Nothobranchius furzeri: one gene and its partners. The protein of the gene in region 2 interacts with the protein of the main gene of each other region in a pairwise test. Links are inferred from orthologs where the notes say so. Each region holds a gene or a part of one and is shown on either strand. Other genes may lie near its edges. The genes, in order: tat, ubiquitin-protein ligase E3A, mcm6 and jade1.

Region 1 (4,058 bases), on a different chromosome or scaffold from region 2:
TTTGGTAAGAATAAACTGATAAGTTAGTACAGTTAAAATGTTTGCTGGCACAAACTGCTTCGTCTCCATATAGGAAGTGTTTATAGGTGTGACTGAAGCAGACTCAGCACCTCTGCCTGCAGCGGAGCCTCGGGGCAGCTGTAAAAGTTGGCCACAGCCTGTCGACTCTGTAAGTAACCTAAAGGTGCAAAAAGTACAGATGCATGACGCCAAAGGGTGGAAAATGTCAGTGAACGCAAGTTCTGCTGAAGACAGCACTGTCGTTTCTGCACGTCAACGCCTTTATTCATCAGAGCGACTCACCCACAGAAGGAGCATAGCCGTTGAATTTTTGGGAGTCGATGGCATCTTTCATGGCCTGGAGAACAGCATCATCTGTAGGCAGGTTTCCAAAGACAGTGGGATCTCCTGGAAAGCAGATGTGGTATTCAGAGATTGTAACAAACGAAAATGTGTCCTGTTTGCTGAATCAACACTAAACAGAGTCTTGTGATGAACCACAGGACACAAGGGAACAAATGAAACACCAGAAAGTTCCCACCGATAGAAAGTGCGATCATGGGTTTGTCTGGGTTTGGGGTGAGCTTCATCCCATCCACGATGGCCCTGATGGGGTTGAGCGTGTTGTTGGCCATCTCTGAGGGCTGCACGTCCCACATCTGCCGGCGGCTCTTGACTTTGGCTGGATACAAGCTGCCGTTCACGTTGACGTGGTGTATCCCATTCCCATGCATTCCCTTCCCAGTCACACCAGTCCCATTCAGGGGTTTGGGTTGGATGGCAGATTTGCCATGGACTCTTTTGTCATTCATCTGAACCACGTAGGCCTTGTTGTCCATCCGGAACTGATGATGCATAAAAAAAGATAATCTGGTCATTAAATTGCTTAACATTGATAAGCTGAGTCTAACCTGCTACTGGAGAGGCTGAGAGACTGGGTCGGCCTATCAGGATCTGCTCTGGAGTGGTTCCCCTCTTATCTCTCTGAGCGCTCCTTTTCTGTGGCCGTCTCCAAGTTTAGGTCCTCCACCACCTCTCTTACCCATGGTGTCCCACAAGGTTCTGTGCTGGGGCCTCTGCTCTTCCTCCTCTATCTGCTTCCTCTTCAGCACATCCTGAGCTCCTTCAAAGGACTCTCCTACCATCTTTATGCAGATGACATCCAACTGTACATCTCCTTTAAGCCCCATGAGATGTCTAAGCTGCAGCTGTTCCACACCTGCTTAGACTCTATCAAAACCTGGATGGTGGGAGCTTTCTTCAGCTGAATGAAGATAAGACTGAGATCCTCATCTGTGCCCCAGACAAGCTGGTTCCCAAAGTCAGAGACTCTCTTGGTCAGCTTGCTTCCCACACCAAACCTTCTGTCAGGAATCTTGGCGTGACCTTTGACCCAGCTCTCACCCTGGATTCTCATGTCAGTTCTCTTGTTGGCTCCTCCTTCTTCCATCTCAGGAACGTTGCTAAGCTGAGTCCCATTCTGTCCCGCTCTGAACTTGAGACAGTTCTCCGCACCTTCATCTCCTCATGCTTAGACTACTGTAACTCTCTTTTCACGTGTCTGAGCAGAACCTCCCTGAACCGTCTACAGGTGGTTCAGAACGCCGGTGCTCGGCTTCTGACCAAGTCCTCCAAACACACCCACATCACCCCGCTTCTCCTCCAGCTTCACTGGCTGCCAGTCAACTTCAGGGTTCATTCCAAGATCCTGGTTCTGGTCTATAGGGCCTTACATGGACAAGCACCATCTTACATTGGTGATCTTCTTAGTCCCTACACCCCCAGCAGGTCCCTGAGGTCCAGTGATCAAATTCTACTGGTTGTGCAGCACCAGTCTAAAGGTCAAAGGTGACAGATCATCTGCTGCTGTGGCCCCCAGACTCTGGACCTCTCTCCCCCTGAGCCTGAGATCAGTGGACTCAGTGGTCTCCTTTAAAAAGCAGCTGAAAACAGGCTGGCTTTGGTGCGACCTTCTGCTGATTCTTCATCACTACCTTCTCCTCATTCTGTCTTTCTTGTGATACAGTGATTATCTTTTTTTTTTAATTTTGTCTTCCTTCACATCTTTTCATCTAAAATGTACTTTTTTCCTCATTTTTATTATGATATACTTTTAAAATCATATTTTATTTTTAGTTCTTGTGAAACTTTAATCCTTTCGCTTGCAGGTCAACTTCTTTATATTTTGTCTTCATATGTTAATGAGACTTAACTGAAACTACACGCTTCGGATAATGTGTATACATCATTAATGCTTATGTTGCGCCCTTGTAGATGTTGTGAGGAGTAACATAGGAGGATTGCATGAGAGGGTAGGTGGTAAATTACCAGCATTTTAAGTCATCTAGGGAAGTAGTAACTAAAGAAGGGGAGGCTGAAATGTTCTGACTAAGAAAAGAGACAGCTACTAGCACCAATAATTAGGAAAATCAACTCAAAACACCTGAGAAACAGCAGCCAGTAATCAAATAATTGGGTTTAATTTGATCTCTTTTTGGATGATGATGCTCACTGTCTTCACCTTTGTGTCAAACTGAACCTACGCTGCACAAAAAAATTCATCAGCACCAACTTGCATGATCAAGCTGACTCTTATCCATCTTGGTTCATCATCTGTATTCATTCATCCTCTAACAGCTTTGGAGAAGAAGAAAAATAATCCTTACCTCATAAAACAATCAGCACAAAGTCTCCAGAATCCAGAGCAGGTCAGTAACTCCTAAACCAAATGTCCAAAAGGGAGATTCAGGACGTATTTATAGCCTATAGATGATGTTTTATAGGAAGACATCCATGTGGGAGTTGAGCGCTGCCCAGGTTTCCATTGGTGGAAGCTGAGGGTTGTGCTATTGCACCCTCTTACATAACTAACCAGAACCACCTTAAACCATTAACGGCTGCAATTTGGAACCGTGGAGATGGAGGGGAGGAGGGTGTGCGGGTCTGGGCTCACGCAAATGTCGGGAGCTCTCGTTGGCTGCGCAGGGGGCGCATTGTGCGCGTCATAAGCCTCGCGGGGGCGCAAAGTGAGACAGCCTCAACAGCAGGAAGTGTTGTGTCTCTGCTTTAAATTAGTTAAAAGCTCGAAATATAATAATTATGATGCATAATTGCATAATTAACAAAAAAATCTAAATTCTTATAAGACTCTTCCTGCCTCAGAATGAGTTTCCAGGATTTGGTCAGCACGCAGACCTCTGATGATCTAAACAGTCCACAAAAATGTTGTTTTTCATTTTTTAACGAGCTTTCCCCTAAATAAAAAAGCTCGTCCTTAAACCTCCAGCGTTACAAGTTACATGAGTTTTCTATCCTGATCAGAGAAACTGTGATGATGTTGTTGAATTGTCTAACGGCTGCGGAGCTGTTATGACCTCCAGATGTTGTGCAACGTGTGACACAGCTGGAGATGACTCCGGGATGAAGGTCTAAACAAACACGAGCCTACCTGGTGAATGATTACAAGACATAAAAGCTCGAGTACGATTAATATAATAAAAGGTTCATTTCTGTTTCAAGACAGAGGCAAACTCAGTTTTATAAAAAAGTACACAAGCTGACCGAATAACTTTTGTTTGCTGTTATATCTTGCCTAGTTTTTAACAGATTTAGTAATAAATATAAATAATTAGTTCCGGAGTTAAGATCACTGTGATACAAACACTTGTCCAAAAAATAAATAATGTGCAAATGTAGAAAGTGGTGCACAGTTTGAGAAAAGGGTGAGGTTTTATTTTCATTTGGTAAATTGTCGGCTATGACGTCATAACCTAACTGACACTTATGTCCACGTCAGACAGCTGGTTGGAATGACGGCATGAAAAACCAACATGGTGGCGGTCTTAGATTTCCTCTTTATAATAACAAGTTCTACCTTGATGCTCCTCCCACACCTTGGAGCGGGTGATCTAAACCAATCACGTGATGGCATCATCAGTGAAGAGGGCTCTGTGATGGACGGCTCGGCCACACATGATCAGAAGTTAACACTGCCTCACCCCTTGAGTTATGCTCCATACATTCAAGCATGAGAGTTCAGAAGTCATCAGAAGAGGTCA
Region 2 (3,058 bases):
CAGACTGCTTCTAATTCACCATTAGCATTGTTAGCGCATTGTTAGCCTCTAGCCTGCTTCTCCTGAAATTTGAGTAAAACAAAAAGATGCTGTGGCTTCTTAGGGGTACAAGAAATGACTTCTGGGTTGCTCCTGTTTACAGGCTACTGTCCTTTAAACAACTTTTTGCCTGTTGGTTTTGAATTACAAATGCCTGAGCTGCTGAGTTAGCTCACTGCAGATTCGGCAACCTCACAAACTCTGAGTGTAAACGGTGACTACGTCCCACTTTTCTTCTTTTCAAAAAGAGAAACATTGACAGACTCTAAGCTGTGTGAGAAGGACATCGGTTCCAGTTTCACCTTTCTTCCAACCTGACAGACATTAGACCTTTTTGGGATTATTTCTCACAAATTGCACCTTTATGTGGGATGAAACTCTTGCATGGTTACAACAAATAAAATCTGACCAGTGTGGCGTGCATTTGTATACACCCACCCATAAAAAGTTTGATTTTGGTCTGGTCCCACCAGAGTACCTTCTTCCTCATATCTGCTACATGACTAAGGTTGGGCATTGTTTGATTTTGAACGATTCCAATTCCTCAGTTTGATTCCGGTTCCTATCGATTCCCGATTCCGGTTCTTTCAAGACATGGCATGTTTTACATGAGCCAGCTAACCACAGGTCCTGCTTGATGAAATAATCTTAACTTCAACATTAATTTTAACTCTATGAACAACAACATCACCTTCATTTAGACAGAAACATGTTTTGGAGGAAAAAAGAAAGACTTGCAGCACAACCAGTGTGTTTGTTTCTGACCACAACCAAAGTCTGGAAGCAGCCTCTGGGATGAGAGGCTTAATGTCTCCAACATATCCAGAAACGTCCAGCTGTTTTCAGCTAAAACTCTCAGGAAGATCATGTCCAGGATGACTGAGAACTACACCTCCATGCAGCAGCAGCATTCAGTTAGAACAGAAAGTGAAACTTAATTGTAGCTGCTGTCAGTAACAATCTAACAGACACGAGTGTTGGTGAGCGGCTGCATCTGACTGCTGATGCTCCGTGTGTGTTTTTATTTCAGCAGTGAGACAAACTCACCTCACACCGTCCAGAGTTCTTTAAAGCTTCTGTTAAATCCACCGTGTTGACGTATTTTAACACGTTTCCTCTACGCTGCAGGAGTAAAGTTTACGTTACGGAGTAAAAGTTCGGCAGACGTGTTTGTTTATATCTGGGTGGGGGGAGGGGGGACTCGGTGCTGCACACAGACAGCTGGTGTGATCAGCTCTGAAAAGCGTTGATCACAATTTGCAGATCACGTTTATTTTTCATGATCGGCCGCGGATTCCTCTTCCAGTCGGCATTCTAGGAATCGAAATAAAAAACTTTGAACGATTCTGGGGAAAACTAACGGTTTCAACCGGTTCCAATCGATGCTCGATGCCCAACCCTAAATGACTCCTGGAAAACAAAAGCCCCTGATGACTCGTGTGTAACCTGAGTGGGAGTGAGTGGTGACCCCAGCTGTGTTGTGTGTTTTGTCTCCAGGTTACCCACGTCCCACACTTGCTTCAACGTGCTGCTGCTGCCTGAGTACAGCAGCAAGGACAAGCTGAGAGAGAGACTGCTGAAAGCCATCACCTATGCCAAAGGGTTTGGCATGCTCTGAGCCCCCCGCCCCCTCCTGCTACTAACAGACTCCTACTCAGAAAGCCCATGAAGCCCCGCCCTTGTTTTACCAGTCCAAACGGTGACTGATCACCCCCCACGCCGGGGGGTGTGTGTCCAGAAGGAAACATCAGTGAAAATGAGAGGACCCGTGGTTGTACGCCAGCGCACTATTACATCTGCTGCTGTGCCTGCATCATCCTACATCCGTCAGTGAGAGCACAGAGACCTCCTGAAGCACCCCCTCCTTTATGTTCCATGTACAGAGAGGATCATTTTCCTTATTATTTATTTGAAGGTTAAAATGGGTTCATCCATGCCTGTCTGTTGTGGTAGCTTCCCTACTCTGGGAAAGGGGGAGGGTTCCTATTAATCCATGTACATTTGGGACAGTGTCAAGTCAATAAAACCAGTTTATTGAACAAAACCTTGCTAAAGTAACCCTGATCTATCCAATCTTATGATCTAGTTTAGAGTAGCCTTTACTACAGATCCTGTACTCCCCTCTGAAGAGAGCCTTCACTCACCATTCCACCCACTCCTGTTGCTTTCTGTGTCCACAGACACAAAAATGATTAAGGTAAGCATCTGAGGGAGGACTGTCCTTTGGTCCAAAACGGCACATTATCGTAAATCTGTAGCTTATTTTTTAGTGCTTGGGCTTTTTTCGTTTGTATTCTGGGGGGACTCTGTTGGTTAGATTCGATCTTGTCAGAGCTGTGTAAAGTGCACTTAGACATTTTCAGAATGTTTGTTTCTTTGGCCACAGGTTGCCATTATTGTTTGGAGCATTTCATTTCCTTGTCTTCCTGTGTTGACAATTCCAAATAAAAACAAAACCAGTGTTTATATATGAGTGCAGCTGGAACTGCAGCAGTGGATGGTGCCTACGCACCTGCATTTATTTATAAAGCGCCATCTAGAGTCCCAGAACCCCCAAGGCACTTACAACACACACACTAGTGGTGGTGTAGCCGCAGCTGCCCAGGGGCACACATTCAGCTCCATCAGACCCTTCAACCATCACCAGCAGGTGAGGAGAGTGGAGTTTCTTTCCAACAGACCAGGGGTCTCATTTATCAAACATTGCGTAGAATCCTTACTAAAACCCTACTTAAGCTCAGAAACAAAATGTACTTACGCCAAGTAGGTTTGTGATCCAGTGGAGTACGCACAGCTGCACGCAATCTCCGCTTCATAAATCGGAGACTAACGAGAATGTTTCTCAGCTGCTTTTTAGTCACATCCCGCCCTCACCACGCCCACTTACTGCCATAAATAGTCAATGCAAATTGCCTTGTGGATCTCATGCATATACATAAGCCGGCTGTTGCAGCACTCCGCCAATGACATGGCGATCGCAGATCAAGGAAGTGCTGTTTCACAGAAGCAGACATTGAGG
Region 3 (3,567 bases), on a different chromosome or scaffold from region 2:
TTGGGGTCTGAAAGCGATGCGTGAAGAGAAACCGACAGGTGGAGAAACCTGAGGGACGAATTTAAGCCTTAAATCACCTTTTTCTTCCATCGCTTCCCCGCCGGTTAGTTTACCGGAAACGTGTTTGAGTAAACGTCCAACAACGAAACCCTAAATATTTATAGGTTAATTTAGCGTTCGACACGTGGAATTAAAAGCTAACTTGGTGGCTTCATCACGTGAGTTCACGTTTATCGTGTTTTTTACCTGTTAGGGTTGCTCGGACTGCTGTCAAGCGGGGCGCCGCCATGTTTGTCGAATAACACAAAAACAGACATGCGCAATACCTCTTCATCCAGTCAGCCTGCTGCCCCCGGTGGACAGTGCTGGTATTACGTTATTTACCCAAAAACAGGATCAAAACCACGTGTTTACATTAACATTTTATTGAGTAAACAAGCGTACACTTCCTGTCACCATATTACAAAACCAGCAACAAGTGGAAACCATCTTATTAGAAAGTCATCACACAGTCCAGAGGTTCTACTGACTCATAACAGTCAGTGGAGCAAACTACACAAAGCAGCGTATTTACATCTCATCTTTTAGGAGCCTCCATAGTTCATCTTTGTACAGCAGGGGCCACCTCCAAAAGATGGTCTAACAGCATCTCCAAAGTCATGCGATCTTCAGCAGAACACCATGAACATCCAGAGCAGATGGTTTAATCCTCCAGGATGTAGTTGGGATTAACGACCAGAACAACGTCTTCCTCTGTGCTCTCAGCCTCAGAGCCCTTTAGTCCAGCCTGAGACAGCTCAATGAGGATGTGATCCTACAAAGACACAAACGTTGGTGTGAGCGGATTAAACTTTAATCGAACATTGATAGAAATATCCACCGAGCGCAGACTCACGTAGTGGACCAGCCTCTGGATGACCTTCTCTATCAGAGCCTTCTTATTGATCAGCTCTTCCTCAGAGTCGATATCTGACTCGATCTCCTTCAGATACCAGTTTATCACTGCATTTTTCCTCAGCTCCTCCTCTTGATCGGCTGAAAAGGAGAAAAGTCCAGTTTAGCTGCAGCTTTAGACAAAAGGGAGTAGGAGGACCGCCTCTTACCGTCCTCTGTTCTGCGCAGATGCAGCACCAACAGGTTGGAGATGCGTTTGTACTCGGCAAAAGACAAACGCAGAGAAGGTTTGGGTTGGCTGTCATGCTCCGCGTGACCATTCACGCCACTGGCATGACCATTAATCCCATTAACATGATCGTCGACACCATTTGGTACATTGTTGACTGCAGATGGAAAACTGTTCAGTGAAGATCTACAGATCATCAGCAGCAGGGTGTGCATACAGATAACTCCTCATACCTTCCTCCTGCTGCTCCTCGTCCTCAAATTCATCCTCCTGATCCAGGTTGATGTCGGGCGTCTCCACTCGGATGATGGACTTGTTTAGGAGACGGAAAGCTTCCTTCACGTGTTTGGGCTGCACCTGGAGACGAGGAAACCATCATTGGTGCTTTTCATATTCATCTTTTTTCCAGATCATGTCCACACCAGTCATCTGCTGTGTCTTGACGCCGCTTCCTGTCATTTGACACTTTCTGTAAACATGAGCCAAACTGCTCTGTCCTGGTCCAGTCAGCTCCTCCGTCTACGTCGTACCTCATCACAGCAGTGCATGCGTGCCATGGCCTCAGACAGGCGGATCATGCTCTCCAGCTGCCGCACCGTAATCCTCCAGGCGGATTTGGACACGCTCCCAGAGCCGTCGCGCTGACGCAGACGCTTGTACTGCTCGACAATGAACTCCTCAGACTCACCGGAGATCTGCCATGGCATCATACACAGACACACACACACACACAGACACACACACACACACACACACACACACACACACACACACACACTGCAGCTTTTACACTCAGTCAGTCCAAAACAGTCACCTGATAAATGTAAGGCCATTTAAAATCAACACCAAGTGGTTTTTAACATTTTAAGCTATTGCTTTTAAACTGGTTTTAGTGGTTCTTAAGCATCTTCATATTGGACAGCACCCAGTAGCCCTCTGCTGACCAGAAACTCTACCAGGGGCAGCGTTAGGCCCGGCTACTTGGGCTGAAGCCCCGGATGTTTCATGAAAAGCCCCGGATCTAAATTGCAGAAGTAACATGCAGTACCAAAGTCCAACAGAGAGGGAGCAGCTGGCAGTAGTTTGTATACAGCCTGCCTGAGCCTCCACCACTGAAGAAGAAGCCCTTCAGCAACCGGCTTCTTCTACACTCTCTGCCTGAAACGCATGAGTGAAGATGGACATAAGGACGTTTTTTAGACCAAAAGTACGGCGACAGAACCCCAGCTTTGATGAGACTGGTGTTGACTCAGGTTTGTGAGTCTTATTAGAAAGTACTTGTTGTGCTGCTGGTTTGCCTAAAGTTAGCTTATCAGGTAAAGTTGTTGGAGAAAGAACGGGAATATTTACTATCATCTCACACTAAACACTAACAGGAACAATACTCTGCCCTGAAAATGCTTAATATGTAGCTTCAGATTAAAAATTATGTGGTACAAGACATATATGATGTTGACTAATGCGTGTCATGTGTGTGTGTGCGCGTGTGTGTGTGTGTGCGTGTTAAGCCCCGGATCTTCTTCGGTCCTTAATCCGCCCCTGAACTCTACTAAACCGTTTTGTGGTTCAGGTAGGAACACTAGAGGGAGGTTTCTACCTGGTTTATGGCAAAAGCGGTTTACTGTACTGGTAGCCAATATAAAAGCTAGCAGTTAGTTGTTTTTTTTTTGTTGGCATCATGGCGTAGCCTGGAAATAAAAGTGAGAGGATTGTTTTTAGAGGCGGAGCAAAGCGCTAAAACCAGAGTGAAAATGGGTGTGGCCTACATGACATCACAGACTGATGGTGGACTTGAAAGGAATATATTTTTTGACCATATGTGTGGACTTTTTCCCCCGTGACTCGCGTAGTATCGGCTTGCGTTAGCTGCAGTGGGGTTTAGGAGGGTGCTGCTTGAAACCTAGATACTTTTATTGTAGCAGCTTTATTCTGGAGTACTTCCTGTTTTTATTTAAAACACACACCTTGGGTTTAAACTGCCGAGCAAAAAGCAGGTATCTGCGGATTTCATCTAAGGAGTACAGTCTGTCCACGGACTCCTCCACCCGGGAGTGCAGGTCCACGATTCTCCTGGCGATGGCGTAATCTGTGACCTGAGATACACACGGGTAGATAAATGATCACCTCCATCAGATCCTTGGTTACTACAGCATGGAAAAATCACACACACACACATTTTCCCTCCGTGTTGTGTGTTTCCGTACCTCATTACACTCATCCACCAGGATGAAGAAGAGGTCGAAGCGGCTCATGATGGGGGCGGTCAGGTTGACGTTCTGCTTCAGGCTCTTGCTGCGGTCGTAGCGCCCGTTGACGGGGTTGGCAGCAGCCAGGATGGACGTGCGTGCGTTCAGAGTAGCCTGAACAAACAGAGGAGATTATTTTCCAGAGGTAAAAACTTGAACAGGTGAGGTGTTCCGGGCTCAGCTGGACGGTGCTACCTT
Region 4 (4,221 bases), on a different chromosome or scaffold from region 2:
TTCCTCGATCAGGTGGTTAAAATTAATATGTTTAAAGGTTAATTAACTTGATTTGAATCTAAAAGTGTTTAAATTTTATAAATCAATGGTGCAAATATTTGCATTTCATTTATATTTATTAAAAAAGTAAATTTGTACAAAACTTTAAATGAAAGAAAAATGTTGTGTAAAGAAGAAACGTTTCTATTTTAGCTCCATGTTATAAACACAATTCTTCAGCTGACATAATTTAAATGAATCTTTAAAGATACCAAGTGTTTATTAGCAGTAAACCCTAAACTATAAATGGTATTTTTATATGATCTGTCTCTTTAATAATCAGTTTGCCCTAAAAGGAGTGGGTGTTGGGAAAGCTGAGTCATTCACACTAATACAAGAATTGTGATAAATTTGAGTTAATCCGTTGGTTCTTAATAAACAAATCCATTATTTTCCTGAGGCGGTAAAATACTTTGGACGTTTATGATCACGGCAATAATAAAATATACTCATCTCCGATCTGGTTGTGGGATAGTGTGCTGCCCTCTAGCGGAGTCCGGGCGCAGCTGCAGTCCCTTGGTAACCTCCTCCCAGACCGCCGCTCTGGAATACGGGTCAAGCGGATCTCAGCTAAAACTGCGCCCCACAGCGAACTCAAGCATCGGCTTGCATCGGTCTGACGTGCTCGTACGTACTGTACAACTTATTTCAAGTGTTCTTATTAACACGCACACATGTAAACAAATCTTGTAATCGGGAAAGGTGGGCAAGTTTCCGTTATGGTCGCACGAGCGGTCCGCTAGGAAAACGCGACGTCGTCATTTAAAATGGCGCCAAAGGTTTACCTCAGCCCGTTCTGTAAACATCCCACTCTCTACTGCTGGTTAGCCACACTGAAAACCAACTTGTGTTTACATGTTAATTAATATTTCTTATCCAGAGATGTATATTGAACTTGTGTAAGATTTATGCATTAATATCTGACCCCTAACTTTTGACTGATTGCGGCAGTGGCTGATTTAATAAGGGACACAGCGTCTGCAATGGCTACCAACTAGCTCCGAAGTTGCTAACCCCAGGCATATTTGTTTTGCTTTGAGTTTTTTTCCCCTAGAGTGAAGTTGTGTGACGTGAACTGTGTTATACCGGTTCTTGTGTCTCGATACTGCAAGCGAAAGTAGTTATCTGATGATTACGCCATTAAGGCGCCGGGTATGTGTTGGCCTGGACGATGCACACAGCAGCAGCTATCGGGCTAGCAGCGTTCGATAGCTGCAATCACCGTGAGATCTTTCAAATTCAGAACAACTTTGGGTCTTTTGGAATTTTTCATCATTATCTAACGGAACACACAGCCGCTTTCTGGATTCCGCTGTAGTTTTTTTTTCTCAGCGTCACTTTTTGCTGCACCAACACGGGCGTCACGGACACGGGTGTTTAGAATCTACTGGTAGTTAGGTTATCTGGTGAGATTTGCCGATTCGCTACGTGATCAGCGCAGCATTTAATGAACCGTTTTCAGTAAGTTATTGTTGTATTTTCTTTGACCTATCATATCAATTTGATATTATCAAACATCAAACGTGGGGTCTGTTTTTATTTTGTCTGCCTTAACGTAAAACTACTAATTGTCAACACTTTTTGTGTGTGCGTGTACGTTGAGATTACGTTGTACGGCCGCTTCGGAAGTCTACGGAAGCCGCCAGTTCTTATTTTTATATGCCGATGGTTCTTACGAAGCAAAATACAAACGCGTTTGCTCAGATTAACATTGGTGTTTCAGCGTCTATGTAAACGGGAAACGGAAAGTGGCATAACACCGGAAGTGAAGCGAGTTTAAAATGACAATATCCGGTTATAATATTCAAAAAAATAAGTGGTTCATGTGGTGGTGTCACCATCATATTTTAATAAACAACATTTCCATTTCTTCATTTGTTACATTTAAATAAAAACGTGCTCATTTAAATTACTTTGAAGTTTTTTTTTATTTTGTTAGTTACACACACATCCGGCTTGGAACACATATCTTATTTAAAGAGCAAGTCACCCCCAAATAAATTTTTTTTTGCTGATAAACTAAATAAACGAGTGTCTAATCGTGCTGCAGACACGTGTAGTGAATAATTTGGCACTTCAGTCCATCTTAGTTAAAATTTAAATATTCTGCCTAAAACTGGCAGTGTTGTGCCGTTGTCAGGTAAAAACTCTGCACTGTATTTTAATTTAAGTCTGCCACCGCTATTGGCTAAGAGGTATGCTATGATGTAAACTGGTACATTATGATGTCACAATGCTGTTGTGAGCCTGTGTGTGTGTATTTGTTAGCAGCTCCGCCTTCTCGGTCTGCCAGGCAACAGCATTTGTTTCATTTTTCAAACAGGAAGTGAGAGTGGAGTTAGACTCTGGTAGGGGTTGACTTGCTCTTTAAGTCCAGGCTGTAATTTCTTGCTACTCTGCGGCCTTGGAGGCAGGTGGTGTTTCTGTTTATTTGTGGGTTGTTGTTGGATGTAAACTTGAAATAGACCGATATATCAGGGCGATATTTACCAGTTATTATACATATAGTCGGGCACTTCCGCTGGCAGCCCACTGCTGCTGCTGAATTTAATTTTTTAATGTGTATTTACGTTCCTGAATAACACTTGCTTTAAAACATTATTGTTGATTAACATTTTATTTACCTACCTGTTTTGTATATTTAATACGTGTCTGTTATTCATTTCTTTGATTAACTTTGATTAAACAAATAATTAAAACATGGAGATGCACGCAAAATTAATATTGTTAGTTAAATTCAGTGAACGTTGTGCTTTCACTGTTATTAGTGACATCTTAGTGTGTAAATAAGGTAGGAAAATTCAGCCTTAAAAATAGGCCCAAAGAATCGGCTGACTGTGACTTCTACAGGTGCTGGCCAGTAAATTAGAATATCATCAAAAGGTTGAAAATATTTCAGTAATTCCATTCAAAACGTGAAACTTGTACATTATATTCATGCAATGCACACAGACCAATGTATTTCCGATGTTTATTACGTTTAATTTTGATATTTATAGGTGACAACCAATGAAAACATCAAATCTGGTATCTCAGAAAATTAGAATATTCTAAAGGCCAATGAAAAAATGTTTGTTTCTCTAATGTTGGCCAACTGAAAAGAATGAACATGAAAAGAATGTGCATGTATAGCACTCAATACTTAGTCGGGGCTCCTTTTGCCTCAATAACTGCAGTAATGCGGCGTGGCATGGACTCGATCAGTCTGTGGCACTGCTCAGGTGTTATGAGAGCCCAGGTTGCTCTGATAGTCGTCTTCAGCTCCTCTGCATTGTTGGGTCTAGCGTATTGCATCCTCCGCTTCACAATACCCCATAGATTTTCTATGGGGTTAAGGTCAGGCGAGTTTGCTGGCCAATCAAGGACAGGGATACCATGGTCCTTGAACCAGGTGCTGGTGGTTTTGGCACTGTGTGCAGGTGCCAAGTCCTGTTGAAAGGTGAAGTCTGCATCCCCATAAAGTTGGTCAGCAGCAGGAAGCATGAAGTGCTCTAAAACTTCCTGGTAGACGGCTGCATTGACCCTGGACCTCAGGAAACAGAGTGGGCCAACACCGGCAGATGACATGGCACCCCACACCATCACTGACGGTGGAAACTTTACACTGGACCTCATGCAACGTGGATTCTGTGCTTCTCCGCTCTTCCTCCAGACTCTGGGTCCTTGATTTCCAAAGGAAATGCAGAACTTGCTTTCATCAGAAAACATAACTTTGGACCACTCAGCATCAGTCCAGTCCTTTTTGTCCTTGGCCCAGGCGAGACGCTTCTTGCGCTGTTTCATGTTCAAGAGTGGCTTGACACACGGAATGCGACACCTGAATCCCATGTCTTTCATGAGTCTCCTCGTGGTGGTTCTTGAAGCGCTGACTCCAGCTGCAGTCCACTCTTTGTGGATCTCCCCCACATTTTTGAATGGGTTTGTCGTCACAATTCTCTGCAGGGTGCGGTTATCCCTAGAGCTTGTACACTTTTTTCTACCACATTTTTTCCGTCCCTTCGCCTGTCTGTTAATGTGCTTGGACACAGAGCTCTGCGAACAGCCAGCTTCTTTAGCAATCACCTTTTGTGTCTTGCCCTCCTTGTGCAAGGTGTCAATGATTGTCTTTTGGACAGCTGTTAAGTCAGAAGTCTTCCCCATGATTGTGGTGCCTTCAAAACAAGACTGAGGGACCTTTTAAAG

Evidence for each region.
Region 1: the proteins of ubiquitin-protein ligase E3A (region 2) and tat interact in binary tests that used the Homo sapiens proteins (3 or more experiments, as listed by UniProt). The link is inferred for Nothobranchius furzeri from reciprocal best matches to the Homo sapiens genes UBE3A and TAT.
Region 3: the proteins of ubiquitin-protein ligase E3A (region 2) and mcm6 interact in binary tests that used the Homo sapiens proteins (3 or more experiments, as listed by UniProt). The link is inferred for Nothobranchius furzeri from reciprocal best matches to the Homo sapiens genes UBE3A and MCM6.
Region 4: the proteins of ubiquitin-protein ligase E3A (region 2) and jade1 interact in a two-hybrid assay, tested with the Homo sapiens proteins (3 studies listed by BioGRID and IntAct). The link is inferred for Nothobranchius furzeri from reciprocal best matches to the Homo sapiens genes UBE3A and JADE1.

The regions. Positions count from the first base shown.
Region 1 is NC_091744.1:86,501,502-86,505,559, reverse strand, and holds the start of tat (tyrosine aminotransferase), read right to left. Parts: upstream 2,804-4,058; 5' UTR 2,667-2,803; intron 846-2,666; 5' UTR 840-845; coding exon 542-839; intron 409-541; coding exon 304-408; intron 179-303; coding exon 111-178; intron 1-110. UniProt on the Homo sapiens protein: Transaminase involved in tyrosine breakdown. Converts tyrosine to p-hydroxyphenylpyruvate. Can catalyze the reverse reaction, using glutamic acid, with 2-oxoglutarate as cosubstrate (in vitro).
Region 2 is NC_091743.1:81,627,766-81,630,823, forward strand, and holds the end of ubiquitin-protein ligase E3A, read left to right. Parts: intron 1-1,536; coding exon 1,537-1,657; 3' UTR 1,658-2,505; downstream 2,506-3,058. UniProt on the Homo sapiens protein: E3 ubiquitin-protein ligase which accepts ubiquitin from an E2 ubiquitin-conjugating enzyme in the form of a thioester and transfers it to its substrates.
Region 3 is NC_091751.1:64,049,513-64,053,079, reverse strand, and holds the end of mcm6 (DNA replication licensing factor MCM6), read right to left. Parts: coding exon 3,565-3,567; intron 3,484-3,564; coding exon 3,328-3,483; intron 3,217-3,327; coding exon 3,088-3,216; intron 1,819-3,087; coding exon 1,654-1,818; intron 1,481-1,653; coding exon 1,357-1,480; intron 1,281-1,356; coding exon 1,104-1,280; intron 1,036-1,103; coding exon 896-1,035; intron 815-895; coding exon 704-814; 3' UTR 410-703; downstream 1-409. Other genes in the region: uncharacterized protein si:ch73-71c20.5, read right to left, coding at 1-48, 247-334. UniProt on the Homo sapiens protein: Acts as a component of the MCM2-7 complex (MCM complex) which is the replicative helicase essential for 'once per cell cycle' DNA replication initiation and elongation in eukaryotic cells.
Region 4 is NC_091758.1:17,731,518-17,735,738, forward strand, and holds the start of jade1 (protein Jade-1), read left to right. Parts: upstream 1-1,367; 5' UTR 1,368-1,486; coding exon 1,487-1,500; intron 1,501-4,221.